Linked DNA regions of Lonchura striata. The protein of the gene in region 2 interacts with the protein of the main gene of each other region in a pairwise test. Links are inferred from orthologs where the notes say so. Each region holds a gene or a part of one and is shown on either strand. Other genes may lie near its edges.

Evidence for each region.
Region 1: the proteins of UBQLN1 (region 2) and NME3 interact in binary tests that used the Homo sapiens proteins (3 or more experiments, as listed by UniProt). The two-hybrid records come from large-scale screens. The link is inferred for Lonchura striata from reciprocal best matches to the Homo sapiens genes UBQLN1 and NME3.
Region 3: the proteins of UBQLN1 (region 2) and TXNDC12 interact in binary tests that used the Homo sapiens proteins (3 or more experiments, as listed by UniProt). The two-hybrid records come from large-scale screens. The link is inferred for Lonchura striata from reciprocal best matches to the Homo sapiens genes UBQLN1 and TXNDC12.
Region 4: the proteins of UBQLN1 (region 2) and SCG2 interact in binary tests that used the Homo sapiens proteins (3 or more experiments, as listed by UniProt). The two-hybrid records come from large-scale screens. The link is inferred for Lonchura striata from reciprocal best matches to the Homo sapiens genes UBQLN1 and SCG2.

Annotation. Positions count from the first base shown.
Region 1 is NC_134618.1:3,027,426-3,035,442, reverse strand, and holds the start of NME3 (nucleoside diphosphate kinase 3), read left to right. Parts: upstream 1-5,014; 5' UTR 5,015-5,053; coding exon 5,054-5,099; intron 5,100-5,350; coding exon 5,351-5,481; intron 5,482-5,890; coding exon 5,891-5,992; intron 5,993-6,447; coding exon 6,448-6,560; intron 6,561-7,259; coding exon 7,260-7,377; 3' UTR 7,378-8,017. UniProt on the Homo sapiens protein: Catalyzes the phosphorylation of ribonucleosides and deoxyribonucleoside diphosphates, other than ATP, into the corresponding triphosphates with ATP as the major phosphate donor.
Region 2 is NC_134642.1:26,244,897-26,251,789, reverse strand, and holds the start of UBQLN1 (ubiquilin-1), read left to right. Parts: upstream 1-3,883; 5' UTR 3,884-3,990; coding exon 3,991-4,146; intron 4,147-6,893. UniProt on the Homo sapiens protein: Plays an important role in the regulation of different protein degradation mechanisms and pathways including ubiquitin-proteasome system (UPS), autophagy and endoplasmic reticulum-associated protein degradation (ERAD) pathway.
Region 3 is NC_134611.1:9,911,207-9,919,098, forward strand, and holds the start of TXNDC12 (thioredoxin domain-containing protein 12), read left to right. Parts: upstream 1-4,877; 5' UTR 4,878-5,268; coding exon 5,269-5,359; intron 5,360-5,676; exon of another isoform or gene 5,677-5,795; intron 5,796-7,333; coding exon 7,334-7,394; intron 7,395-7,892. Other genes in the region: BTF3L4 (transcription factor BTF3 homolog 4), read right to left, coding at 125-326, 2,368-2,481, 3,328-3,381. UniProt on the Homo sapiens protein: Protein-disulfide reductase of the endoplasmic reticulum that promotes disulfide bond formation in client proteins through its thiol-disulfide oxidase activity.
Region 4 is NC_134612.1:9,379,974-9,387,036, reverse strand, and holds the start of SCG2 (secretogranin-2), read left to right. Parts: upstream 1-4,050; 5' UTR 4,051-4,148; intron 4,149-7,063. UniProt on the Homo sapiens protein: Neuroendocrine protein of the granin family that regulates the biogenesis of secretory granules.

The DNA.
Region 1 (8,017 bases), on a different chromosome or scaffold from region 2:
AGGAATTTAGTTCAAGGGATATCAAGCCAGGGTTTAGACGGTGTTTGACCTACTTTGTGACTGCTGTGGCATCACAAGGAGCACTGCTGGGGGACACAGGCTCTGCAAGGCAGGGAACCGAGGGAGAACCAACAGCCCCTTTCACAGCTGAGCAGCTGGTGGTGGATTTGGAGAGGGGAGGCTGTGCTCAGGCCCCCCTGAACAAGAGGCTCCAAATACTGCCTCAAAATTTGCAGTTCCTCCTCAATCCCACTGCCAGCCAGGGTGAAGGTGTAAGCAAGTGGATACAACCTGATCCAAGGCAGCCACCACCTCCCTGGCAAAGCATTCCTTTACAGAACTCACACACGTGGGACTTTGCCATCAGCCCGACCCAAGTGACAGAAAGCTTCAAGGACTCTGTTTTACCTCCAGTATCTCCTTGTGAGGCAAAGGAAGCTGCTTGGGAGCTGGGGCTCTGCATTGCCAGGCTCAGGGGCTGCTGCCTGCCCTGCCCTGGGCACAGGGCTCATGCAGGGGCCCCACACACTCACATTCCAGGGCTGCTGTCTACAAAGAGGGAAAGGTCAGGCTTAGTCCCACATGTGCCACCTCTGATCTGACCTGCAGCTGGAAATAAAGGTGTGGCAGCAGCTCCCCTGTGAGAGGAGACCACCAAACCATGGTGAGACCCACTGGCTGCCTCTGCTGGCAGAACTCCATAGGCCACAGCTGGGTTTTTATACAAAAACATTTATCCTCACAGGTTTAGGTGAGGAGCCGAGGAGGTGGTGAGACAGGAGCTGTCCCTGAGAAATCATCTCTGATGCCCCAAGGGCTGGAGCCCCTCTACTCTGGAGCCAGGCTGGGAGAGCTGGGAGTGCTCACCTGGAGAGGAGAAGCTCCAGGGAGAGCTCAGAGCCCTGCCAGGGCCTAAAGGGGCTCCAGGAGAGCTGGAGAGGGACTGGGGACAAGGGATGGAGGGACAGGACACAGGGAATGGCTCCCACTGCCAGAGGGCAGGGCTGGATGGGATATTGGGAAGGAATTGTTCCCTGGCAGGGTGGGCAGGCCCTGGCACAGGGTGCCCAGAGCAGCTGTGGCTGCCCCTGGATCCCTGGCAGTGCCCAAGGCCGGGTTGGACGGGGTTTGGAGCAGCCTGGGACAGTGGGAGGTGCCCCTGTCCATGGCAGAGGGTAGAATGAGATGGGCTTCGAGATCTCTTCCAACTCAAACCACTCTGGGATTCTATGAAATACTCCAGACAGAACAGGAGAGACCAAGCTAGTGCAGCTGCATGTGTGCAGGAGTTTTGGATGTGATCCCAGCATCAGCACAGAGGAGACTCCTCTGCTGTGCACCTACAGGACAGGAAGGATTGGGAGCAGCACACAGGTGACAGAATCAGAGCCCACAAGAAGGGCTCCAGGCTGTGGACATCCCTCAGGGCACTGAACAGCAACCAGTGTCCTGCTGCCCTCCTGGCTCACCTCCAGAGCACCAGCACCCAGCTCCTCACTGGCACTGCCTATTCCAGCCTGTCCTTCTCTGGCCTTGGATGGGACTGGATGGACTGGAATTTCTCAGAGAAGAAGCCCAGGCTGTCCAAACAGGTATAAATAAAATGCTGTAGCGCTGCACTGAAGTGAGAACTAACATAAACCTCTGCTTCAAAGTGCAAGTGTTTCCCTGGGCTGTGGACCCTGAGTGTTTCTTTCCAGGAAATCTTTCATAGACTCGATGAGAATGGAAAAGCCAAATGCAAGGAAAGGCAAGGTTTGAGCTGCTCCCTCTGAGGAAGCATCACCTGTCCTGGGGTTAGAGATACATCCCTGGAGACCTTCTGTTGTACTCAGCTACTCCCAGTTTTCAGAGCACCCCTCTCTGTATCAGAGCTTTGCTTCAGGGTGGAGCAATGGCACTTTGCAATGGGTCCTCATCTGTTCCATGTTCCCTTGCTGTGGAGCACTTTGTGTAGCTCTGGCTCTGACATCTGTACCCCCTGTGTCCAGAAAAAGGTGCTTCAGGAAATATTCTGGCTCTACCAACCCCTCTTTATCCTGAGAAGTGAAATATTTCCAGCAGGATCAGTAGTCCAGGATGAAAGTAGACAGGTCTGCACCTGTGCAGAGCCCACTCTGTGAGAAGCACCAACACTCCAGGCTGTGCCAGTGCTATGCTGGTGAAAAACCACAGCTGAACTGAAATGTGAAAATCCTCCCCAAACAAGCAAAAAGGTGCAAAAAGAGCCTGAGAAGGAAGGCAGTGCCAACTGCAGAAGTTGCTGAGTGTGATGAAAGGAGACAAAAAGCCTTTGTCTGCACTGCACAGTGTTGGATGGCCACCTTATCTGCACCTACATGCTCTGGGGTCTCTTACATAACTACAGGATCTGCAATGTTCTATCCAGCAGGAGCAAAAATAGAGCTCTGCCTCCGCCTGAAATTCCTGCAGTGGGGGCGAGCAGGGGAACAGCCCCTCCCAGCCTCCCCTGCCACTCTGGGGTCCTCCACACTGAACCTTCCCACTGAAATTAGAAGGTGTTTGGTGCCAGAAGGTACCTGGCCATTCAGGCTCCCTGTGAAGGGTTCAAAAAGTGATCACTGGGCTTTCCAAACAAGGCAGCAAATTTGTTCAGCCCTTCCAGATGTGCAGCTGCTGCCTGTGGCACCATTCCATGCACACATCTGGGATGGGAATGCTGAGCACCCAAGTGAAAGCTCTGCAGGAAGGATCTGTAGTCTCTTTCTTGCTTACTGCAGCTTCCTGTGCTCACCCTAGCTACACACCTGCCTAAAACTGTGCCTAAAAGACTGGCTCAGGAACAATCTGCCTGGGAATCAGGCCCAGCTCCATTTCCTAAGCCACCTGGAAAACAGTAATCCACATTTCTGGGAATCCTAGAGAGGGAAGTCAAAGACTTCTCCCCACAGCACAGCATTATCAGAGAAGATGAGAAGGGCTCACCCAAGCAGAGAGTGTTTGACATGTTTCTCCTCCAAATTCTGCTGCAGGGAACTGCCTGAGGCTCCAAAGAACATTTACAGTCCAAGGAAATGAAAACCTTCACCCAAGTGCCTGCACCAGGATCTTTGAGAAGACCTGTGGAGAATGACAGAACAGCCCTGGTATGAGAAAATGAGGTGTTTCATCAGCATTGAGAAACAACAGAAATAAAACAAGTGTGAAATGAGGGATGTTGCCTGTGTGGAAGTCTGGCTGCCTGCAGCACACATGAGTGCTGGCTGGGCTGGGGACTGAGCTGCTGACTTCATCACTGACACCTCTGCAGGAACCTTGAAAAGGGTCCTAGAATAAATCTTAGTAAATTGACAGAAACATCACTATTTTTGAACTAGCCTTCTGTGAAGGAAGACTGAGATCAGCCATCTGGCTGGAGTTAGGAAGCTGAGTTTTCACCACCACACTCCTTCAGCCCCACTGCCACTCCTGTGTGGAAGAGGTTTTACAGTGACTTTGGTAAGCCAGAGAGAAGTTTGATTAGAGGATCCATGTTTACCCCTGCAAGAATTTCCTACCAAGGTCATTGACACAGAAACCACCAAAGAAAGAAGGATAAATAAGAGAAACCTGCAACTTACTATTCCAATGAGCACTTTGTTTGTCTTTCCTGACCAATGAGTAAAGTGTAAACTTTTGAGTCTTGTGAGGATGTATAAAAATCATGCATACTAAAATAAAAACGGGTTTTGAAGCCTTCTGAAAATGGAGTGTTGCTTTGTATTGTCTCAATTACGATGCTCCCACACCAGGACACACACAGGTTGGACACACACAGCTGTCACCGGCAGCACATGGAGAATGTGGTTCATTAGTGGCTCTGTGAGCAGCTAAATGAGAGCTGACAGCATCTCTTAGGCACCTTCCTCAGAGTCCTCTGCAACCTTTCCAGACCTGTGAGAGCTGTTTCCCTGCACTTGATAATCCAGATGGGATTTGTTTGAGATGTTCCAACAAAATAGCCCGGCAGTCCCTAAGAAAACGAGGGGAGGGCTGACAACGCTGCTTGTGCACCTGGAAATCGCAGCCTTGTTCCAGGGCAGCCCCGGCGGGCCGGGACGGCCCCGGGCTGCGGGGGGCTAGGAGCTGCTCCGCGCTGCCTGCGCTCCCTCTGCCGGCACCAGGGCTCCGGGAGCAGCCTCTGGGAACATCCCCTGGCACCGCCCTCGCCTCCCGAGCAGTGCCCGCGGCTCCGCAGCGGGCAGAGGTCATGCACAGAGGATGTTCCACCGCCACCGAAACAACCAGCGCAGCGCGACTCTGTGGAGCGGACGGGCTCAGCTTTCCTCGGGCAAAGCCACGCTCTGGGCCTCCAGGCTGCAGCCACTAATTGTTTATGAGTACAAACGCAGGAATAATTTACTCAAAACGATGTTGGATAAAGCAGCTGGATCCCTGCTGTTTGGAGACGGACCCCTGCGTGTCCCAGCCAAGAGCTGAACCGAGGAGAAGGAGCAGAACAGCGTCTCTGAACATGAGAAGCGGGATGGAAACAGACCCAGCACCAGCCCTCCACAGGGCAGCTGGGCGCAGGTATTTCATGGGCTGGTGTTTCCAGAGGCTGCTTTTGGAGGGAGCTGAACTAAGAGGTGAATTCCTGAGAGCGATGGAGCCCTGGAGCGCAGTCCATGCCCTTCCCAAGCCCCTGAGGCTGAGGTGGCGTTAAGAGCCGGGCTTACAGCCCAGAACGAAGGCAGCAGCGTGTGCCCCGCACGGAGGAGCTCCCCAGCCCGGCGGGGCTGCAGCTCTGCCCGGGGCAGCGCAGGGCTCCCCTTCCTGGGCTCGGTACCGCAGCTGCCCCGTGACCGGACTGCTCCAGCCACGGCCAGCGTGCAGGGACAGCGCAGGGAGAAGCCTGATAAGCAGCCGGGAGGCTGTGGCCGGGCCGGCGGCGCAGGGGGGCTCCGAGGCGGCAGGGAGGCCGCACACCCCGCCCCGGCGGAGCGCGGCCGCCCGCGGCCATGGGAACGCCGTCCCGCTGTCCCGTGTCGCGGCGCGATGTTCCGCGGGGGCGGTGACAGCGCGGGGCAGCACGGCCCCTTTCAGAGCCGCCATGATCTGCCTGGTGCTGGGGCTCTTCGCCGGCCTCTTCCACGGTGGTACGGGACGGGACGGGACCCCCGGGCCGGCTCTGAGGGATCCCCCTTGTGCCTGAGGGCCTCCCTTCCCCGGAGAGACCCCGCGGCTGAAGGGCCGGGCCGGGCCGGGCCCCCGTGCCCTCCGCGGCCGGACCGCCCTGCGCTCCCTGCGGGAGCCTGGGCCCGCCCTGAGCCCCGCCACCCCCGTGCCGCTCGCCTGCAGGCCCGGGGGCGTCCCCTTCCCCGCTCAGAGCTCTGCCCTGTCCCTGCAGCCTTCGGCGGGGTCCATGAACGAACCTTCGTGGCCATCAAGCCGGACGGGGTCCAGCGGCGCCTGGTCGGGGAGATCATCCGGCGCTTCGAGAGGAAGGGGCTGCAGCTGGTGGGGATGAAGCTGCTGCAGGTGAGCGGCTGGGCCCGCCCAGGCTGGGGGGCCCTGCAGTCGGGGAGCCCCTGCAGCCCCCCGAGCCTCGGCTGCGCTGCTAACTGCTGGGGGTTCTGCCTGTCATCCGGCCCCTGCAACCTGCTGCTGTCATTCCAGCGGCAAATCCCCGCAGCTCAGGGGAGAGCTGGCACTGGGAGGGGCGATTCCAGCTGTGGGGAGCATGTCTGCCCTTGCTGTGCTGTACTCCAGGGCTGTCACTGTAAGCTGGCAGCTGGAAACTCCTCTCTGTGTCAGGCTCCTGCTGTTTCACTCCCGGAACTGAGCATCTGTGCAAGAGCTTCATTCTCTCCATTTCCTGCATCCCTGAGGTGCAGCCCTTGCCCAGATGCCCCGTGTGGGAGCAGACTAAGCTCTGTGCTCTGTGCAGGCCTCGGAGGAGCTGCTGAAGGAACACTACATCTCCCTGCGGGACCGTCCCTTCTACGGCCGCCTGGTGAAGTACATGAGCTCCGGGCCCATCGTGGCCATGGTGAGTGCTGGCCGGGGCCCTGGGCCAAGGAACAGGGACAAAGTGCGAGGTGTGAGCAGCAGTGCCTGTTAGCACAGTGGAAGTAATGTGATATCCCCCCTCAGAGGGTCTCTTGAAGCTGTACTGAACTGCAGAGATGTTTTCTGTTGTAAATTAAATCATAGAACAGTTTGGGTTGGAAGGGACCTTAAAGGTCTCGTTCCACCCCTGCCATGGCAGGGGCACCTTCCACTAGACCAAGGTTGCTCTAAGCCCCATCCAGCCTGGCCTTGAGCACTTCCAGGGATAGGGAGAAATCCACAGACCATTTGGATTATTTTCCAAAATCAACTTTGTAAGAATAATTCGGAGAGCCCCTTTGCTGTCAGCCACGTGGATCTGGTGGGGAATTCAGAGGGCAGATGTGACCTGCTGGGGCAGCTGTGGAAGTTGATCCTGGTTTTGCTCTCCTGTAGGTCTGGCAGGGCCTGGATGTGGTGAAGACAGTTCGCACCATGATCGGGGAGACCAATCCAGCTGAATCCAAGCCTGGCACCATCCGAGGAGACTTCTGTGTTGAAGTCAGCAAGTGAGAGCTTTGACTTCTTCTTCCTTCAGTGTTTCAGGGCATCCTGTCCAGGCCTGCCTGAGCCACATGAGTCTGCATTCCCAGAGCAGAAGTTCTCCCTTTTGTGCTCAGACCAGAGCTGAGCTCTGCTTTCCAGGGTTGGCTTTAATAGGAAGAAGAGCCTGGGTTGTGTCTTTCCTTCCTCCTGAGTCCTCTGTTGAAAGCAGGAGGGCTTTGCCTGTTTTCCTCTGGTAATTGGGACTGTCAGGCTGTGAATAGGAATGGGAGCTCCCACTCAGTCCTTTCGTGGGAGCAGGTGAATATGCACGGGTGGTGACCTTGGGTGGCCCCAGCCTGGCTTGTGGTAGACACAGCTCTTACTGAACCATCCTGGCTTAGATCTGTTTCCTGGTGCCTGATACAAAACCTGCTTTGATGGAAGGGGGAAAATCTGAAGGCACAGATGGAATCACTGACATAAAAAATGTACATCCCAGAGCTACAGCCACTTGCAGCTCCTCCTGTAGCAAACAGAAGGTTCCTCAGCATAGGAGGGGCAAGTGCTGGGAACTGGCACTGCTGGAAGGATGAATGGTGTGGGATAGGAGGGGATATTGTGGGACAGGACTGGCTCCATTGCTTTACTAAAATTGGTCAAGGAGGAATTTTGCAGGTTGCAGCATCCCTCTCCCACCTTTCTCCCTCTCTCCTTGCCCACAGGAACGTGATCCATGGCAGTGACTCGGTGGAGAGTGCCCAGCAGGAGATCTCGCTCTGGTTCCGCCCCGAGGAGCTGCCGTGCTGGGAGGACACGGCTGCACACTGGATCTACGAGTGAGCAGCAATCCCAAGGGAAGTTATCTTCCTGCTGGGACACAGCACACTTCCATCCATTTCATGGCAGCTGCTGGAGCTGGCTGCAGATCCTCTGTGGGATTCCTCTTGTGTCTGTGGGATCCTGGCAGCTGGGCTGTGTGTGGAACTCTGGTTCAGCTCCTGCCAAGGGGAGCTCTTCCTTTTTTTCTCTCTTTGCTCTAGTAATTAGTTGGTATTTTTGCTTTGTTTGCTGCAGCATCTTAAATCCCAGGTAGCTCAAGCTGATTAATTGTAGCAAAACTTGGGCTCTTGGCCCATTCCTGGGTGTTCTCATCCCTGCCTGGAGCAGGAGAATGCGTTTTCCTTGCTGCTGGGAGAGCTGCTGGTCACGAGGTGATGGGCTTGGCAATTTACCTGCATTTCCAGAAGGCTTTTCACCAAAGGCTCTTAAAGAATTGGGCTGCTGTAGGAGAAGGGAGCAAATTCTCATTTTGGAGTTTATTCCAAGACAAGGAATGCAGGATGGGACAATTCTCTCTCCCTTGGTGGGAGTCCTGTGTGTTGGGACTGGCAAAAGCTCACCCAGTTTCAGACGTATTGAGTGAGTCCGTGGAAGGAAGATTCTCCAAATGCTGCTAACACACAATTCCTCAGGCTCTGCT
Region 2 (6,893 bases):
TACCATCGCCTCTCTGTGCCCAGACGGGGGCTGTAGCCTTGCATGTCCCTGGCGGTCGGGAGGCTTTTTCTTTTCCAAGGAGGACGCCACCTCACTCAGTCTTTTTGGAGTAATTCATACTGGAAAGCTCCTTCTCTTTCTCGGAAAGCTACCTTTTCTACCCTCTCCTCCCTATTCTGGGCTTTGGGGGTGAGGGGATCGAAAGGACACCAATGGTACAGAATTGTAAGCGACGACACGTCAGCTATGGGAGAATTGTTAACATCCTAAGGGAGGCCCTACACATCCATGCATTTCATCAGCTTCCAGCCACGTCGGGCCCCTCTCCTGTAGTATTCCCCTTCAGCTTCTGTGAAGCTTCCCCTTCCCTTTTCCCCACAGACTTCCCCAAACCTTCTCCCTTGGGGATGGCAGCAGCCGAGCCGCCCCAAGCGCCCTGCCGGACACTGTTATCCTCCCTTAGGGGCGGCACTGGCCGTGCCTCCCCGGGTGAGATGCAGTGCACCCAGCACCCCCTCCCAAGATGGCGCTGGCCATGCTACAGGGATCCCATTTTCCCACCTTGACCCTTCTCTTCCACCCCAAGTTTTCCCGCTGGCCCAACCCCTCCCCGAATGGCCCTGCACCATCCTGCAGTGGGCCAGCCCCTATTGGGGGGAGGTGAGGTTGGATTAATCCCTCAGTTCTTCTTCTGGCCCCCCTCTGATGGGAGGGATCACCAGAGGGGTCCCTCTGTTAGAGGACCTCCCTTTGTAAGAGAGCTTGCCCCTTTGCTGTGGGAAAGGGGGGGGGTTCAAAGGGAGTGGAGCTGGAAACCCGGACCAGAGCTCCACTGTTTCTCTTTCCCCTGAAACAGTGACGCCCAGGTTCTCCCCTCTATCCCATCTAAATGTACCTTGCCCAAAGTTCCCTTATTATTTCAATGCAAGTTTTCCCCATTGCTTGTGATAATTTGGAAATAACTCCTTGGATTGAGATATATCTTATAGAAGGAAAGATCATCCTCTCTAATTACTGCCCACAATGGTATGCCAACTTCGCAATCAAATAATCAAATTGGAGAAACCACGTTGCTGTTTGGTGCCTGTTTCTGCTCTGCTAGTATGCGAAAAACCACAAGCATCGCATCATGAATCCTGCTTTCATCCTCGATACAGAATGTGTTTATGATAATTTTGTACTTTGTCTTAAATTGTAATGTGGAAAAAATTTTTGCTCCATTCATTGATTGGTGTATCACTTTCTGATGTCTCTCTACTTACATTTTCTCAGTAATTTGTAACGTTGCTAATTTGTTTTTACCTCAGAACTCCCTTTCCTTTATGTAAATTCAAAAGACTGAGCTGCGGGGTTTGTAATTTTCTCTTCTTCCCCTCCCATTCCCCCTCTCCCCTTCCCACATGTTCCCCCTTTGTCCTGTGACCCAGCCCACCCCTCCCCGCTCCCCCGCGGTCCTTTGTCCCGACCCTGCATTCCCTTATCACTCCCCCTCACCACGCGGTCCGGTCCCTGTCCCCCCCCCCTCCCCTCCTTTCCCATCACTGCTCCTACTTCCCTGGGGTCTCCAGGGCTCCGGGGTCTCCAGGGCTCACCCTGTCTCCTGCCCTGTCCCTATTGGCTGTGGCTCAGGTTCCCCCACCCTGGGGTATAACCGACCCCTGGGTCAGTGTCCGTGGTCTCGGGGACACACTCCCACAATAAACACGTGTCTGCCCCCGAGCCCCGTGTCATCCTTCCGTCTGTTCCCACACTAGAACTGAGCCTCGCAGAGCAAAAGGGGAAAAGCGGCGCCGTCTCTCCCTCCCGCCATGCTCCCGCAGGCACCTGCCCAGAGCCGGTCTCGCACGGCAACACTTAGCAATACCTTTAAAGTAGTAAATGTCTAGGATGTATTCTTCTTTAGCTGGGGCCAAGTAACTTAAAGGCAAAAGGTACTGAATTATTTCATTGATGTACATTCACAAACTATGCCAAGTTACTCTTCTTGCATCTTCCGACACCAAACCCCTGCATCTCACTACAGGCCTCTGTGACACCTCATGTCTCATGGATTGGAGCTCCAGCAAACCACAGCTGCACGGCCAGCACCTGCACTCCCAGACCCTAGTTGGGAAACTGGTGACCTTCTGCATGGACCTCTGGAGATCACCATCCAGGCTAAGCCTTCTGCCAAGGGAAGGTCAGCTAGAGCAGGTTACACAGGAACATGTCCAGACAGGTTTTGAATGCCTCAAGAGAGAGAGAATCCATGACCTTCCTGGGCAGCCTGTTCCAGTGCTCTGTCATGCTAACTGTAAAGTTCTTCCCCATGCTGAAGTGGAATTTCCTGTCTTTGAGTTTATGCCCATTGCTCCTCGTCATGTTACTGGGCACCCCTGAAAAGAGGCTGGCACTATCTCTTTGTGAAAAACGCCAGTCACTTGTTTAGTTGATAAGTTTAACAGGAATAAAATAGCTATTAAAATAGTAGCAAAAATTAGAGCAGTAAGTATTTGGACAATAAAAAGCAAAGAATTATGGATGTCTGGGTGCCTTGCACTCTGCCACAAAGCACACCTTGCTAAATAAGGATTACCCCTTAAAAGCAATAGCCTGTTGCGTATTCATAATCTCATACATGATTTAAAAATTCAAACAAAGGATTTCTTCTGCTTAGAAGGATTTCTTCTGCTTACTCCCACCTTCGTCTTGTAAATTAGTCATGTTGGTCCCTTGGAGTCTGCGTCTTCCCAATAAGGAGGCAGTAATTATTCTCTTGGAATTTTAGTGTCTTGTTGCTGTTATCCCTATGCAAAGAATTTCTTAATTATCCATTCCTTGAGCTACTTGTAAAAAGAATCTTACATCACATTTCTATTTTAATATGCTATTGCCTAAAACTATATTTACCACATTACTTAAAAGAGATTAATACAGCATAACTTTCCAACATAACACCTATAGTATTCATTTTAATATTTGCGAAGAGCCAATCATGTAATATGCATTTTTCACACTCTTTGTATCCACCTTTGAGATATTCACATATATTGATGAATCCCCTCTCAGGCTTCTCCAGACTAAACAGGCCCACCTCCTGCAGTCCCTTCTCATACGAGAGATGTTTCAAGCCCCAAATTGTCCTTGTGAGTCCCACTGGACCCTCTCCAGTAGCTCCTTGTCTCTCTTGTACCGAGGAGCCCAGAAGTGGACGTGGCGCTGCAGTGTCCTCCCAGAGTGCTGTCCGTGGAGGCCGGCACAGCCCGGAGCCGAGGCGGCGGCCGGCACAGCCCGGAGCCCAGGCGGCGGCGGCCGGCACATCCCGAGCCCAGGCGGCGGCCGGCACAGCCCGGAGCCCAGGCGGCGGCCGGCACATCCCGGAGCCCAGGCGGCGGCCGGCACATCCCCGAGCCCAGGCGGCGGCCGGCACATCCCGAGCCCAGGCGGCGGCCGGCACAGCCCGGAGCCGAGGCGGCGGCCGGCACATCCCGGAGCCCAGGCGGCGGCGGCCGGCACATCCCGGAGCCGAGGCGGCGGCCGGCACATCCCCGAGCCCAGGCGGCGGCCGGCACATCCCGAGCCCAGGCGGCGGCCGGCACAGCCCGGAGCCGAGGCGGCGGCCGGCACATCCCGGAGCCCAGGCGGCGGCCGGCACATCCCGGAGCCGAGGCGGCGGCGGCCGGCACATCCCGGAGCCGAGGCGGCGGCCGGCACATCCCGAGCCCAGGCGGCGGCGGCCGGCACATCCCGAGCCCAGGCGGCGGCCGGCACATCCCGAGCCCAGGCGGCGGCCGGCACATCCCGAGCCCAGGCGGCGGCGGGAGCGCTCCGCTGGGAGTCGCGCGCCGCCCCTTCCAGTACCTTCCCCGGTGCGTGCGTCATCACGGCGCGCGGCGGCCGGGCCCAGCCGTTTCCGGTGTCGCGGGCGCGTCGCGAGCGCTCGGTTGCAGCCGCCGGAGCCGGGAGCCGAGCGCGCTGCCCCGCCCCGCCCCGCCCCACCGGGACACGGCGATGTCGGACACAGCGGACGGGCCCGCGGGGGGCCCCCCTGGCTCGCCCACCCGCGACTCGGCCGGTGACTCCGAGCCGCGGATCATCAAAGTCACGGTGAAGACTCCCAAGGAGAAGGAGGAGTTCGCCGTTTCCGAGGCCAGCAGCATCCGGCAGGTGAGGGGCGGCGCGGCGGGCTGCGGAGCCGGCGGGGCGCGCTGGGGCCGGGCCGGGCGGAGCGCCGCCCGGCTGGCAGCGCCGGCCCGCGGCTCCCGGCTCGGCTGCGCGGGGCCCGGGCCCTGCCCAGTGACAAAGCAGCTTCTGCTCGCCCGGGAAGGGACTGCTGCCTTCTGAGGAGGGCGGGGGCAGTGGAGAAATGTGCCGCCTCGCACCCTCCTCTCCCGCTTCTCTGTTACACTGCAGAGGGCCGGTTCGGAAGCTGGATGTAGCTCATTCGTCAACTCGTTGAGTCGTAGAAACGTGGGGGTTGGAAGGAAACATCAAAAATCTTCCAGTTCCCCTGTCGTAGGCAGGGACACTTTCAGATAGACTAGGTTGCTCAAAGCACCATTCAGCCTGGGTTGGAATACTTCCAGGGATGGGCCATCCACAGCTTCTCTGGTCAGCCTGTTCCAGTGCCTCACCACCCCCACAGTAAAGAATTTTTTCGTAATAGCTAATCTAAACCTACTCTCTTTCTCTTTGAAGCTATTGCCCCTTGTCCTGTCAGCACATGTTCTTGCAAACAGGCTTGCCTCATCCTTCCTGTAAGTTCCCTTCAGGTGTTGGAAGGCCACAATTAGGCCACCCCAAAGCCTTCTCTTCTCTCATTTTCTAGCTGTGAGTTGTCCTGTTCAGCTGACTGGCTTTGGTGGTAGTTGTCTCACTGTCTGGCTAACATGACTGTAGAAAACATACACAGTTACTTGTATCTCTGTATTTCCAGTGTTTATTTTGATCTAACACTGTCTTTAAAGACAGTGAGTAGGCCTTGAACTTTGGGAAGTTGTAGCCTTGTACTGTGTTTGCAAAATCTTCAGTCTCCCATACTCTGATGTGCTAGTTACAGATATAGTACTTAGCATGGCATGGTTATGTCAGATAACCAATTTATTAGGGCTTTTGTGCCTTCCTGTGAAAGTCTATGCTCCAGCTGCCTTTGTCTCAAACTAGTGACACCTGCTGATTCATCCACACTGTTTCGTGCAAGTCTTCTATTTTTTCAACTCTTTTAGTAGGTTTGCTGTGCAAGTATTGACTAAAAATTCATTTACTTAAATTAGAAAGCAACAAATCATAGCAAAGCTGCTATCAAAATGTAAAAATGCAGAGACTCCTGCTTACAAAGAATGTAGGTGTTGCTAGATTCAGAACTTCTTTTGTTTTCCATAGGATTTCCCAGTTTTCACCTTGAAATGGCTCTAACTGTGTCAACTTTGTGCTATTCCACATTTTTTTGTGTGACTTTGGTATTGCAGACTTCATAAAAAAAGATAACATGTCTGAAAGCGTCACTTATATCTAGATACAGAACTTGACATCATTCTTTAAGTGTGAGCTGAAGGACACTGATTGGTTAATAGAAGAGGATACAAAAGATTAAGTAAAATCTCCGAAATTTCAAATGTAGTGATAGCTATTCAACTAGACTGTCAGACTTTTGTTTCATCTAGTTGCTGTGAATAGAGAAAATGCTAATATTTCTTTGAGGTTTTTTTTGTCCTTGTGTCTAATCTACATTCAGTTTTGTTTTGCAATGTTGGTTTTTTTTTTTTTTTTTTGTACATCAGTGTTTGGGCTAGAAGTGTCCCAGACCTGAGTTTCATTGAGGTTTTCTCAGCTGCCAATGCACTGAAGCTGCTTTCTTGTCCTCTTGTCTTTTGGCAGCTGCAGTGTTGTGTGCAGTGAGCTATTCTCTCTGCAAGCTTGATCTAGGCATTTCTCCCAAAAGTAAAAAGACTGTGTTTGCTTTTTAGTGTTTTCCACTGCTTTCCCAGCAATCTCAGTCTGAAAAGGGTGCTTTCCACTTCTCTGTTCTCCATATATTTGTGAACAGCAGCAATGCAGTTTTTGTAAAAGTCTTTGCAGTTTTGGGGCTTTTGTTTTGTTAGGATATTTTAAAAGAGAGATTCATAAACTTAATATAACCTGAGGATTGTGTTTGTCCTGTAAAGCAATCAGCCATTAGCTGGGTCCTTTGGAATTAATAAAGAGATTTACTTTAGCTGTGAATCTTGTAATACATTTGACTTTAACAAGTTTGTTTCAGATTTGAATACTGGCGGATCTGCCAGGTTTTCAAATAAACAGTTGTCATAAACTGAAATGGTTGTACAACCTATCAAGCACATGAATTTTTACTGAAAGCAGTCATACAAGTTTAGAAAATTAACAGAGGATACTACTTCAGATGTCTCTGTTGTCTACAGATACCTTAAACTGTGTTTTCTCTCTTGGCACTGCTGTTAAAATATTAGATGTGCGGTTATGACTTAATTCTTGTGAAGTAAGATTTCCCTGCTGGGTTGACCATTGGATTGAAGTCTCAGGCAGTGTAACAGCACAAAAAAATGCGCTGTCCCCATAGAATGACTAATACTGGCTTTTTCTCTTAAACTGCAAAAATGAGCTGTTGATTATAATAAGTATAAACAATAGATGCAATGTTTCTAGAACCAGCCTTGAGAATAGGTTAATCTCAAATACCAGGCGAGTTGCACATCTGTTCAAGTGCATCTGGGATCAGCAAGTGGTTTGTACAGTTGAGATAAGTGGGCCAGTAGCTTGTAGGCTGAAAGGAAAACAAAACAAAACAACAACAAAAAAAGGCAAAAGAAACTCCCTCAGTATATTTTTATAGCTAACATTAGAACTTAAAGAATTGAGCTGTTTATTTCTTTACGGTCATTTCAGGTACTGCTAGA
Region 3 (7,892 bases), on a different chromosome or scaffold from region 2:
GCAAATAAAAGCACACACACACTTCTGACTTTTTAAGTCACATGCTTTTGTTAAATTTGGGTTAAAACTTTCAGTAGTTCACATGTCCTTTAAGTCAGCTATGAAATATTCCAAAAAGACCTACCTTGTCTTGGGAATTGTTCAGCTAACTTCCTGAGACTTGTTAAGCTGTCAGCACCAAGCTGGCTTAAGATGCCTGGAAGCATTTCTGTGATCGGTTTAGCTTCTGCATGACCAGTAATTGCAAAAGTGTTGGCAGAGAGGGAAGCTTGAACCTTGGGGTTGTTGAAGTGAATAACTGTTCCATCATCTTTTATCATGTTCACCTGTTTAAATATATTAATAACATTTACCTTACCTAAGTGTTGCAGCATCTTGTTACACAAGCATTGCAACTAAAATCTAGATTTGAAAAATCAAAAATTACAGAACTAGAACTCCTCCTAAAGGATAATACGATAAAAGCACCTGGAATTAACACCATCTAAATTCAAAGCTCCAACAGCAGCACCTTGCCACATCAGGTTAAGCCACTGCCTTTCACAGGTACCTGTGTCACCTACCAGGAAAACATTCCTGCTTCTTCCCAGCTGACAAGAGGCACAGGACTCACACTGGCTCAAGGCAGGGATGCACATGCAGCACTGGGGGATTATGTACCCACTGCACTAGAATAGACTTCCAATACCTTCCCAATAATTCCATGAGGGCTCTTAAGACTAAGGACACCACACAGTGATCCTGCTCTCCTCTTCTTCCCTGGTCTTCTGAATCACCAAGAGTTCTACCTTACAGTCAGTGTAGTGGCTGCTTTAGAAAGCTGAAAAGCTTTTTCTTCTGGGCATGGATAAACTATTATGCAAAAAATAATTGTCTGACCATAGGAAGAGACTTCTACCCATCCAACACAATAGTGGTATTAAACTTACATGAAAAAAATATTAAGCAATGTTTTTAAGTTACAGGGAGAAAAGAGGGATTCAGAACTAAAAACGACATCTAAAATACAAAAACATCTAAGTCCTCAATCCTTACACAGCAGCAGAGTTCCAAATACGTTTTGAACAGGAAATCCAGGTGTGCCGCTTTCCTGCAAAACTAAGCAATATCCTGTCCTTTGCCCATGGGGAAATGGTAAAAGCTTCAAGCACAGTTATCCTGTTACTTAAAAGCCTCTTTCAAAATGACACAAATGTGTTATTCATGCTTGACTCAACATTACTTTTGTATCTGCATGAAGCTTACCAAGGTCAACTTGCGTTCACTTGAATAAAACCTTCCACAATTATGTCTCTTGCTATCAAGGTAGAAACATTTTGCATCGTCTTCCTACACTGAGATATTTAAATTCCTTAATAACTGTCTGAATAAAGATCCTGTGCTCTGTGCACAAAAAAAACCCTGAACATACACTAAGAAGAACCATATCTTACTTTAGTTCATACAGCTCTGCATATTTGTATTAAGTTCAAGAAAACAGACACACTGAACTGTTTCTGTAACAGAGGTCTGAAAACTTACAGGCAAACCACACCAAATCTGCATTTGCCTTTGGAAGAGAGGAATGCACTTCTCCATGCACGTTGCAATCCTGCTTCAATTAATTAATCAGAGATCAAATACTGCACTTCTTTAACGAAGGAGTACAAGCACTGCAGCCACACTGAGCTCATGATGGAGAAAACTACTTCTCTTCCCATATATGAGGGTCACTCCCTATACTGTTATGGAAAACATGTTTTATTAATACATGTAAATGAGAGGCATTCAAGGAACACCTGAAACCTTCACATTCCCACTTACATTAACACAGAAGCTGCCTCTGTGGAGACTCTGCACTGCTGTAAAAAAACATTTCCTGTAACTACTACAAACAATTCCAGCAATTTTTCGCAGTAAAAGGTCCTAATTTTGATAATACAGACTCAAGTTCATAGTCAAGGTGTTTCTAAACCTTCCTTCATACTCTGCACCACACTTGCTCTAGATGTGCCTGCACAGTCCATGTACATTTACTGCTCTTTGCTTTAGAGCAAGTAATCAAATTCATAAAAGTCAAGAATGAAGAGAAGCTTTGTTCTGCAATAAATGCAAGACACACACACACACATACAGCACACAGCTTACTACCTCCACCACACATTGCCTGGCCAGCAGAACCTGCACCTTTCCTTCTCCAGGCACATACACATTAATGTCAATGAGGCAACAATCATCAAACAACATTACCTCTCAATAACCAGATCTCTATGCTTTTGCTTGGAAGATAAAACTGTTGTAAAAAGAAAGGCAAACCACACCACACCACCACCAAAACAGCAGATTGAATTTAACTTCAAACAGGAAACACTTATTTTTTCACTATACCTCTTCAATGCCAGCAATGTTATTTACAGCCAGTTTTTTGAGGGAACTCTGAAGTTTTTTGTCATCAGCTGTAGCTGTTCTGTGTACCACCTTCTTCTTTCTGCGAGCTGTTCCCTGGGAAGAATCGAGACAAAAGTCAGCTCTCCTCAAAATCTCACAAAGACTAATTGCAAAAGTCAGGGCACAGTCTGAGCAATATCTTTCAAGTTATGAGACATTTCTGTAGACAAAAACTATTCTCAACTTATTTCCCTTTACCTACAGCTTTGCCCACCATTCCCGATTTTAAGTTTTTTCTTAAGCATAAAGACCAAAGAAATAGTAAACAGCAGTACATTTTCCCTTCCACTCACCCAGCCTACAAAAATACTACTTATTATTGAGCAATACAGAACAAAGTTTCCCCAAGATACTTTTTCCAAAACAAAGCACAAATACAGTGATTAAAATAGTTCCACTTTGGCAACCAAGTCATTAACGCTTTCAGAGTGTTCCACAGACAGCAATTTTGGAATTCCTGCTTTGAAAACTTCTGTACAATCATTCCTACAAGGGGATGAGCACCCACACTGAACAAACAACATGCCCTTTTATCAGTCATATTAACCACCCATTAGCTCAGAGAAAAGAAACAGCTCAGTGCACAGCCAGTGCCTGAAGCAGGCACAAAGAAGAAAATCCCCAACAGGAAGACCATAAAGGCATAACTGGGACATCCAACAGGTGAGATTAGCTGGAGCTTTCACAGGTCACAACAAGTCATTGAATTAGAACAATGCTTACACACTGGAAACTGCTCATCCAGCCGTTGTGAACTGAAAGAAACTTGTGTTTCAGGTAGCTGCACTACAGGCCAGATCACACAAAACCTGTATTAGTCAAACCTGAGAATACTTTTTTTCTTCTCTTTCTATGAGTTTCAGTCCATGCTTTCAAAAGCATCTCTGGTGGTTTTCTTACCTTTCCTCCTATTCGGACCTGCGCTTGAAGCTTGGCCAGTTTTTCTTGGTTCATAGTGCTACGTCTAAAGAGCAAGAACAAGTTCAACTTAACAGTAATAACAAAAAGTCACAGTCCATGTTAAGAGCACTCTTACGATTGCAGCAGGTTTTTCAAACTTCTAGAACATCACCCAAAACAGTGTGTCAAACAAACACACAAAAACAGAGCTTTCAAATTATACCCCCTAAACTATCCATAGTGGTCCTGCAGCAGGAAGGACACACATTTAGCTGAAGCGTCTATGCCAAGATGAGGCAACTCTACAGGACGTTTCATTCTGCATCAGGCCAAGGTACTCATTTCCAAGATGCCAGTTTATTGCTGGAAGTATTTAACTGAATTACTGGCTCCAACCAGACCCAAACCAGCACAGAGAACTGGGTCTGGGAAAACACCATCTTTACGAGGGTCCAGGGACACAGTCACCACTAAACTACCTGGGATAGTATTCATGGAATTAATCTATTATACTTATGACTAATAAGCGAGATCCAAACTCTGTGAACTTCGTGTATGGACATATTTACTACATGAACTTCTGGCAGCTTTTCATCCAATACAGTGACCGCGAATTTTGTGCAGTGCTTCTCCCACGAGTCAGATGGGACCTTTAAAGGCTAAAAGCCCCGAAAATCCATAACGTGTGAAAAAAGGCCTCAAGCCTTCCACCAAAATGAATGCGTTTCGCTGCTCTGCCCCAGCGAGCCACCAGTGATCCCCAGAAATCCCCGCATGTGCTTTGTGCCGGGAACGAGCGGGGGCAGAGCGGGAGCGGGGCAGGGATCGGCGCACGGAGACCCTGCGGGGCGGCGGGGGAAGGGGCTCGGGGTGGCTCGCTGGGCAGCCCCACAGCACGGGAACACGGCTCATCCCTCAGGAGCCCGTGTAACCGCGGTCTCACGGCAGAGCCGCGGCCCCGCGAGCCAGGGCAGCCCCCGCACAAGGGGATCGCTCGCTCGGCCTCTCCCCGAGGAACGGCCCAGTACTGCCCAAGGGGACGGGACCGAGCTGCCGCGGCGCGCCGCCCGCCTCAGGACGGCGGGGACGCGGCGGCAGCGGGACGCGGCGGTCCCGGGACACGGAGACAGCGGGACGCGGGAAGAGCGGCCCCCTCACCTGAGCGCGGCGGAGCCCGCGGCCAACACGCGGCGAGAACAAGATGGCGGCCGAGGAAGGAAAGAGAGGCGCACAGAGAAAGGAAGCGCCGCGCCACGTGACGGCGCCAGCCCGCCCGCAGATGGGCGGGCCCGCCCACCTCATTTACATAGAGGCGGCCGTGTGGCGAGCAAGGGCTCCTGGGAGTTGTAGTCTCCAGGGAGCGGCAGTCACCCGCGCCTCGGGGCAGGGAGCGGTGCCCTGTGACCCAAACTGGGACGCGGCGCTTCCAAACGCGTCACCACTCGCTCTGTCCCTCTCAGGGAAGCCTCCCTCACACGCTGCGCTTGCGGTCGGATTTGCTTTCCCGACAGCCAGGCAACTCCAGAGAGCAGCGCGACAAAAGCGTTTATTTGTGAAAGAGAAAATAAACCCGGAAACACTCCCCTCCCACCGCTGCCTGCTCCCGTCGGGATAACGCTGGGGTTTGCCCAGGGGGAGTAACCAGGACTCGGGGCCCCGGTGCGATGACTCCTACCCCGTAAGGAGCTGAGCCCATGCCGAGCCCCCCACACCGCTCCCGCGGCTGCCTCCCCCAGCACCGGGGGCCGGGCCGTCGGAGCGGCGCACCGCCCACATCCGCCACACATCACTTCCCGGGCTTTAAAAACGGGGAAAGAGGAAAAAAAAAAAAAAAAAAAAAAAAAAGAGGAGAAAAAAAAAAAAAAAAAAAAAAGTCTAGCTAAGCGGGTCCTGTCCTGTCCGGAGGTTCGGGGCCGTGCCGCCGCTTTCCGCGCAGACACCATGAAGGCTCAGCCCGCGGCAGCCTCCGTCCTCTGCCTGTGCCTGGTGCTGGCGGCCTGCGCCGCCTCCGCCGCGGGAGGGCTCGGAAAGGGTCAGACAAACGCTTTCTTCGGCTTCCCCCAATTCCTGTCCCCACTCGCGGCCACCGGGCGGGGGCACGGCACGTTCCCCTCAGCCCGCGGGGCCGCCGGGCGGGAGCAAAGGGCGCAGCTTCGGGCTGTGGAGGCGCGGGGGGCTTCGCGGGGTCTCCGCCGTTGCGGTCGGGTTCTGGCCGAAGCCTTTCTGAGGGCTCTGGGGAGCAGCCCCGCCGTGCCCCTGCCTGCCCCGAGCCCCGCCGGGCTCCTGGCAGGCGTGAATGGCCCTTCCCTCCGCCCGCGGCTCCCCTTGCCCTTCGTGCCCGCTTCTCACCTCGCTCCTGGCTTGCCCGGGCTCCTTGCCTAATTACCGTGTCTAATAGCCCGGTTCATCCGGGGCCTGGGCTTCTCCCCGAGTGGTGGCTCTGCCGTAGAGGTAAATCTCCTCCTCAAGGCTGGTTGTAACCAATTTGATCAATGACAGCAAAGCTGTGGTGTGGATCCCAGCCAGCCATTCACCCTTTAATTCCCCAAATGACTTTCATTCAAAAGATGCACTCTGTAATGTGTTGGGCAATGCTTTTAAAAACACACTGTAGTTCACCACGTAGTGGGGTTTGTTTTAAATACAGAAAAGCTTTTGAAAAGTGTTTCCCAGCTAGAACAATAGAAGGTTTTTCCTATTTTAACATTTTGGCCTTCGACTGAAATAGCTGACATGTCAATATTCTGGGTAAACGTGACTTGTGCTATTCCATCTGGGTTTTTGCTCTGGGATGTTGAGCTCGTACAAATGTAGTCCTGTGTCGGGGGCTGCCTCAGCACTTGCTGTGTGGGTGTGAGGGGACAGGGATGAGGCATCTCCACATCTCTTTGATGTGTTGCATCACTTAGGTTCACAGTTGCTTGTATCAGCAGAGATCAAACACTGTGCCTGTGTCCACACCTCCTGGATGCTGAACAGAGGCGGCCCAAAGATTTGCTGGCACTGTTTTGGGCTTTCTCCAGATTCTTTGCCCTAGTTGTGTACTGGAGAAAATGTCCACTTTCCCCTATGTCTGCACTGGGCAGTCTGTGGCTCCTGATCTCTCTGCAGCTCCCAAAATCTCCCCTAGGCACCTCGGGCATGGTGGGTTCCTGACTAATCTGAAACTTACGGATGGGAAGGGGCAAACCAAGGCTCATGTTTGGCCATCCAGCACAGTAATTGTTAATTACTGGAACCAAGACCGCTGAGGAGGTGTTCCAAGAGAGTTCCTCTTTGTACAGTTCCTGGATCTCCTTCATCTAAGCTTCCCAGGTGGCATTTGGCTATGTGCTCTGTTGGCTACTAAAAAAGCCCAACCCTGGCAGTCACTGCTTTACAGCTGTTAAACATACCCTGACTCACTCTTAAGTTAATTGACATAACAAGACTTGTTATCTGGATGTCAGATAAAACGTTTCCTGCATCGTTCAGTCACTATAACACTCAGAAATCTGTATAATGGTGTTCTTTCTTGCTCTTCCATGCTATTATCATCAGCAGGAATACTTAGCATAATAGCTTTAGAGCAATTAGTGATCATATGTTCGCCTTGAAATTTTTAATTTTCAGTTTAGTTCACCTTCAGTGGGATTTAGGAAGCCAAATGCTGAGATGTTTAATTTGTCACTCATCAGATAATAAATGTTCACAGAATGAAAAAGAACGGAGAATAATCAGAAGGCACTTCAATTTTAATATCTGTTTGGGGGATTTTAGTGTCATTGACATACATATATAGAAATATTCATGAGCATGGTATGTTTTTGCTAATTAATTTCAGTGGGATTCCTCATACAACTGTGTGGGCTTTAAGTATTTGCAGAAGTCTTTCCAGAAGTGGGGCTATAGTTGTCTTTAAAAAAAGAATATAAAATGAGTTGAAAATACTCGAGTGTTGGGCTGTTTTCCTCTATTAGCTGACATGTTAAATTATGCAGCATTTATAAACTCCTCTCTCTGGCAGGTTTTGGAGATCATATTCATTGGAGAACACTAGAAGATGGGAAGAAAGAGGCAGCAGCCAGGTATGTTTGTTGGTTTTAAATACAGAAATTTCTCTTCAGAAGCATTCACAATGGTTCTATTTCAGGCGTAAATTTAACCACAGAAAATAGTCTCTTTTAACAGAACTGAGGGTGATTTAGGAAACTCTTCAGATCCCTACAGGTTACTGGAGAGAAAATACAGAATTTTGTTAAGTTTGCTAAGGCACCAGCTAGGTATAATCACTGCAGTCTAATTAAATAATTGAAGCCCTAGCATGTCCTTGAAACAAGAAAATATTTATCACAGTAAAGAAAGATATGGTTCTCCAACACACAAATGCAAGTGTAAGTGGTGCTCAATGCCCTTAAAATCAGCAGTGCTAAGAGCTTCCCTAAAATTCCTTGTGCCTGTATAGATGAGGTCTCAGCATGAGGTATTTTGTTTCCATCTGCAGCAAAAACCTGGAAGTTTCAAGCTGTAGTGAACTGACAGAACCTGGTTTGGGCTAAGCCTAAATTCTAAAAAGAACAATGACA
Region 4 (7,063 bases), on a different chromosome or scaffold from region 2:
TATACTGGAACAAGTATAGCAGTAAACTCTTTCCCTGTTGATTCATCTGCTGCTTATGCAGCTCCTTCCAGCCCGGGCTTCTCTGCCCCTCTGGCACTGGCTGAGCTGATAGATCCCATGGGGGTTTCTCCTATGGGGTGGAGCCTGATTACCCCAAGTTTCAGGCATCCCATGGTAAGTGTAGGTCACTGGGCAGGTAGCAGCAGCGAGGCAGCGGGCTGGGCTCCTCCTGCAGCCCCTGGAGAACTCCAGAGGCACTGGAGGGGTGCCAGAGCCTGGGGAAGGATGCTAAGCAGGAGGCAGAGCTGAGCCTCAGCCCTGGGGCAGGCTGCAGAGGGAGTGGAGTGATGATGCCCTTGGCCAGCACTGGGGCACAGCCCCGTGTGCAGGGGTGGCAGACAAGCCTTGCCTAAGGCTCCTCTTCAGTTTAATTTTTTTTTTTATAAGCAGGCAGCCTGAAATCCTGAACTTGTAAATGTTGGTTAAAAGTCCAGATTTTGGGTTTGGCTTTTCCTTAGCTTTTCCTGTTCTTGAAATGTCCCCTCAGGGAGGTGTGTAGGGCAGGCTGGTGTTAAACCTGCTTAATCTCATTGCAGTGTTGAATAAAGCCCAGTGATCTACAGCCAGTGCTTGCCTTGACATCCCTGCTTTTAAAGGACTGTGGTTAAAAACTGCAAACCCCTTATTTTTCCTTACAATGCTGTACTTATCCCTCCCCTTATGGCTTTGGAAATGAAATTTGAGCCATTTATTGTGCACTAAATTTAGGCAGGCCAAAAATATTTGCATACAAATATGACTGATCTTTCAAGCATGCAAAATGAGCAGAAAATGACAAGTCTGATGTTGGATACAGGCAGAACTCAAGTATTTTAAAATTAAAATAATTTAAAAGAATCTGTATCTATGATGGCAGATGAGCCTTTTATGAGGAAAGAAAACCTCCTCTTTCTCATTATATTCAGAGTAAATGAAGATATTCAAGTCAGATATGGACTGAATTTTAAATGTGACAATGGCATTTATTCTGCAGGAGATGTCATGTCTGTAATGAATTGTAAATTATTTTTAGTTGCTACTAGAAACAGAAGAAGGGAAGGAAATAATCAATATTGACACAACCCTGCTTTATTTTTAAGCAGTGCTGATCTTGGTGGCACCAATTAGAGGAGGAGAGAGCCAGAGCTGCAGAGCTGCAAACCATTCTGGTGTTTAGAAAAGGGCCAGAGCAGCCAGACAAATGTGCTGCCCCCCTGGGCTGGTGATCCCAGCCAGATCATCATTCCAGCCTCTGCTGGGAGCTGGGCAGGTGTGGTGCAGCCCATGGTCCATGAACTGCTGTGGTTCTGGCCACCCTCACCCCCTGCTGCTGCTGTGTCCTGGGCACAAGCACAGTGACCCCAAGGCCCTTTGCCACAGCATGCTTCCTCCTCAAGACAAGTTTTCTGGCTTTTCTTTTCCCACTGACTGTAGGGATGATGATATTCGAGCTGGGGTATGACAAAACAGAGAGTGCAGGGACCCTCCAGCCTCTGTTTGCTGCAGTGAAGTTCCCCTCCCAACCCCGTGCCCTCTTTCTAGCATGAAATGAAATTAAATAAAAGGCTTTTGCTGCAAGGTGCAGGGTTGATTGATTAACCTTTATCTTCTCATGATGGGTAAGGTAGAGCATGTGACAAGCAAGCTGTTCAGAAAAATCACTGTGGGTAGAGCTGGGCTGTTCCCAGAATGCACAAAAGGATGCACATGGTCAAAATTCACTCAGAAAAACAAGATTACCCATCTCCTTTGCTTAAGCAGTTGCTATTGAGCTAATTCTAATGTAATTTCCTAAAGCTGAGAGATGCTGTGATGTGATCTTACTCTTGTATAAAATGCCATGGAACTTCTGATGACAGAACAGATCCAATTTTCAGTTGCATGACTCATTCTAAGGAAAAGAATGCTGTACATTCAATATGACCAAAAAAAAAAAAAAAAATTCAGTAAGGCCCTCCTTATAGGGCTGGGTGGATGCAATCAATCGTAAGCACAAAGTCCAGGCAACTTTTTGATATGGAGTAAAATTGACAGATGGATTGTAGAGAGCCTTTGGAAAATTTTATCCACTGAACCCAGAATAGCCACAGCAGAGACCAAAGCCAAGTGTCTGGCTGACTTTATATGCTGTAAACCTGAGGTGAGTGGTTAAGGAGGATGCAATCTTGCTCATGTGCCGAATAATTTGGATTGTCTGAAATGTGCTCTAATGCAGAAGATCAGGGATAGATGGATGGGGTTCAACAGCATGATTTCATGGGAAAGAATTTGCTCCATAAGTATTAGTCATTTGGTGACAGAATACACAAGAGCCTGTTGGAAACTCTTGCAGAAGCACAGGAAAATTCCTGAAAGTCTGAATTGAGTAATTTTCTTCTGGGTGTTTTCTGTTATTATTTTGTTTGTTGGTTTTGATTACACTGAGTATTCTGTCCCTGGACTGAGGTGTCTCAGTGACAGCAGTGTCTGCAGTGCTGTGTTTTGTGGGCATTCAGGACCCTGCTGAAGGGGATGTGGTGTTGAGCAATACAGTTCCCAGCTGCTCAGAGGGCACTTGGACCTTGCCCTCTGCTACTGCAGCAATGCCTTTCTCTTTCCCTTCCTCAGAGCTGCTATCATGGGCCCTAATGCAATATTTTTTGGGCTCTTTACTTCCCGGGCCTGGCAATGGAAGTGCATGTATTGGATGGAATTTGGGGCCAGAATAAAGCTGCTGCTGAAGATTTTCAGCACAAAAACTGAAACTGTATCAGCAAATGCAGCTAGGATTTTCTTGTTGTCTGTTCATGGCTACAATTATTTCTAGCTTACTGTTCTTACAATAATTTAATTTTGTTATGTTTCTTGGCTTGGAAGGTACATTCATCCTAGGTTTTTTTGCTTTTTGTGCGGTAAAAGGTCAGAATTGTCAGGAAAGATTTATTTTGGGGGAAAAGGAATACTTATTTAAAAGCCAAAGCAAAACAACCTTTCTGTAATAGGAAGGAAGCAGAAGGGACAAGCTAAAACTCTGAGCATCAGCTGAAGCCATGTGTTACATCTTGTGTTTTGTGATTTATGGCATAGTGGTATTTACTCACCTCACTGATCCAGGCGTGCAAGTGCTGCCCTTTTTGAGTGCTGAGAAGGGAGATAAAACCATGAGGGCCTTTTCAGCAGTGCCTGGCAGTGCCCCAGGGATGGGCAGCCCCTCTCTGGCTCCCTCCCCATCCAGAGGAGCACCAGCCTGGCCCCTGTCCCATCCACAGCCAGGGCACACAGGCTGGCATGGGGCTGCAGGAGCAGGAGGAACCTTCTGCCTTGTATTTCCCCAGTGTGCTTCAGTTTTTCCATCTTCCTCAGACAAACAACGGAGGGGTGTCCTTCTCCCCTCAGGAGCACTGATCTCTAGTTGGTCCAGAGCTCCAGGGCCTCCTACACCTGATGACAAGGCCACAGATGCCATGAACCCTGCCTGCCCTGTGACAAAGCCAGAAATGTGCCACAATAGCTCAGTCAATGACCTAAAGAGAAAAATTAAAAAGCCCAGCTGGCCACCGCTGCTGAAAGGCACGGGCACAGGCAGGCACGGGCACGCTGACCCTGGGTGCAGAGTCATCCTCACGGCCGGGCTCGCACCCCGCTCCGGCCCCGCGCGTCCCCGCCGCGCTCCCGCTCCGGCCCCGGCCGTGCCCCGCTGCTGCTGCGGCCTGCGCCCGCCCCCGAGGTGTCGCTCGGGCTTGTCGAGTCCTTCCTCCCAGCCTAAGAAGCAGCATCACATCTGCCTTTTCCTTTCCTTTTTCTTTCTTTTTTCTTTTTAAACCTCTTTCCCCTTTCCCCCTTCTTTCTTCCTTGCCTTGCTTTTCTCTCCTTGTTTTTCCTCGTGGCTTTTTTCCCCCTCTGTATTTTTTTTTTTTTTTTTTTACTTTCTCCTTTTTTCTCCTTCCCCCCGCTTTTCCCGCTGCCGGTTTTACGTGCCGGGTGTGTGCCCGCTCCGTGCGGGCCCGGGGTCGCTCCGCCCGGGCGGGGCCGGGCCGGGCGGGGCCGGGCGGGGCCGTGACGCGCGGCCGGGGCGGTATAAGCGGCGCTGTCCGGGTGCTGAAGGCGGCGGAGCGGCGGCAGCAGCGCAGGTAGGGCTGGAGCGCCGGCGGCTGCAGGGATGTAGATCGGGATTAGGGATACAGGGCTGTAGGGATGTAGATCGGGATGTAGAGATACAGGGCTGTAGGGATGTAGATTGGGATATAGGGATATAGGACTGTAGGGCTGTAGATTGGGATATAGGGATATAGGGCTGTAGGGATGTAGACTGAGATACAGGGATGTAGGGTTGTAGGGATGTAGATTGGGATATAGGGATATAGGGCTGTAGGGATGTAGACTGAGATACAGGGATATAGGGTTGTAGGGATGTAGATTGGGATGTAGGGACACAGGGCTGTAGGGATGTAGATTGGGATGTAGGGATACAGGGCTGTAGGGATGTATATTGGGATATAGGGATATAGGGCTGTAGGGATGTAGACTGAGATACAGGGATATAGGGTTGTAGGGATGTTGGGTTGTAGGGATGTAGATTGGGATGTAGGGATACAGGGCTGTAGGGATGTAGACTGAGATACAGGGATATAGGGTTGTAGGGATGTAGGACTGTAGGGATGTAGATTGGGATATAGGGATATAGGGCTGTAGGGATGTAGACGGAGATACAGGGATATAGGGTTGTAGGGATGTAGATTGGGATGTAGGGATACAGGGATGTAGGGATGTAGATTGGGATATAGGGATATAGGGCTGTAGGGATGTAGATTGGGATATAGGGATATAGGGCTGTAGGGATGTAGGTTGGGATGTAGGGATTATAGGGCTGTAGGGCTGTAGATTGGGATGTAGGGATGTAGATTGGGATGTAGGGCTGTAGGGCTGTAGATTGGGATGTAGGGATTATAGGGCTGTAGGGATATAGGGCTGTAGGGCTGTAGATTGGGATGTAGGGCTGTAGATTTGGATGTGGGTATACAGGGCTGTGGATTGGGATGTAGGGAGCATGGAGCCCCAGGGCTGCGCAGGGGGATCCAGCACCGAGAGCAGTGAAGTCGCACCAAGAGCGGTGATGCCGGGGCTGGGGTTTGCAAGAGAACACATCATTGTAAAATGTGCTCCTATCACTATATATACTGCATACATATAACAATGTGTGTGTGTATGTATAAATAGATATATGTTGTATCCATGGGCTCTCAGCACCGGCCGGAGCAGTGGCACTCAGCCGTGCCGGGTCACCGACATGGCACTTCTGTGGATGGGCGGAGGGTTCCCTCGGATGCAAACAGCCTCTGAGTCACTTCCCAGACAGATCCACATGCAAACATTCCTTTTATTCACTAGAACTGCCGTGGCTTTGGGCTTTTACCCTTCGTTGCTGTTTTGTTTGTTTTTTCAGTCCCTTCCACAGGGTAAAGGGTTAGAGATGCTTTTAAACAAGGCAAATTTACTGCAGGTATGTTATTTATTGCAAAAAAGAAATGGGAGGAACAGTGCATGATATATTTATTTTCCCTGTGAAAAGCTGCTGTTAGGTTTCACCTAAGGCTGTCAGGGCAGGGAGATGTCTATAGGAATAACCTATGAGTTTTCATAGCTAAATTTCACTGGAAACATTAGAGTCACATCAGAAACAACTGCCAGGAGAATGAGAGAGAAAATTACTGCTACCATGGAAACATCCCAGAAAGGAGATATTTTCTGTGTCTGTTTTTTAGGGAACTTTTTTCAGTCTCTATTGCCTTTGTATGTGTTAAATTTTGATAATGATTGCCTCATTTTGTAAAGAGAAGCTTCTTCATCTTCATTTGTTGGCTAAAAGATGATTTTCCTGTTTGTTAGGTTCTAATAGAGGAGAAAATATGCTCTCCATCTAGACTGGCTTCACAGTTATCGATCTGAAAAAAAAAGAACTGTTTTAGTATATTGTCCTTTGCGAGGCACAGGAGAGAATGGTTATGATATTTCCTAAAGATGGGCTAAAATGTTTTGTTTTTAAACAAATTTGGAATTAAAGTCTGAAAGACTGGCGAGGAATCCTCTTACCTTGGATAGCACAGTATATTTAATGACAAGATTTACGACCCGAACTCATAGCTTGTAAAAGAAATAATTCCCAAATCTGTTTGGCAAGGATTTCAAATACCATCTACTAGTAAATTAGAAGTAAAAATTGACCTAGAGGCAAATGCACACAAAATATGTAGAGAGGAGCCAATGTTATTTCTGCAAAGGAAATATCCAATTGAGCAACATCCTTGTCGAATGCTAAACTAAACTTTGCCTGGCTGCACACATTTTGATTTTAGTGGGATGCTGACAGCTCTTGCAAAGGCTGTAACAATCCAAATTGTGTGCAGCAAAGGAGGGTGAGTTGCTGGTCTTTGTGAGTGGGAGGTGCTTGGCAGATGATTATAGACTTACTCTCCCTTCCCCCATCCCTTGGAAAGGACAGTTTCTCATGTGCTGATCAAACAAACGCTGTTGATAACCAGTCTCTGCTGGAAAAGAAAGTCTTAATTTCACTTATTTGCTACAGAAATAGAAAAATTAGGTGCTGTTTGGTTGTTTGTTTGCTTTTGCTTTTATTTTTAAAATGGATATATACATTTATGTACAGTGTTAATGCCTTTTCTGTGACAGAAAATGAAGCAATATATTGGCTTTGACTCAGGGCCAACTCAGATCCAGAGGGTGGGACTGTCTAATCAGCTGTTGAACTAATCATTTGTGAAATCAATGCTCAAATGTACTCAGGCATGAAGTCAGAAATGTTTGGGGAAATTGTTTGCTATTATGCCTGTTAGCCTGCTCATGCATACTGAAGGGGGGAAAATAAGCAGCTCTCTGAACTGATAATGCTTTAATTATTAAGTTGTATTATGCTAAGGACAAAAACTGAGTGGAAAAATCTACAAGTGAGCTGAAATGAACATATTCATGCTCACTTTCTGCTTCCAGCAGTGGGTAAACATGGGTGTACACAGCTCTTTCAGGATGT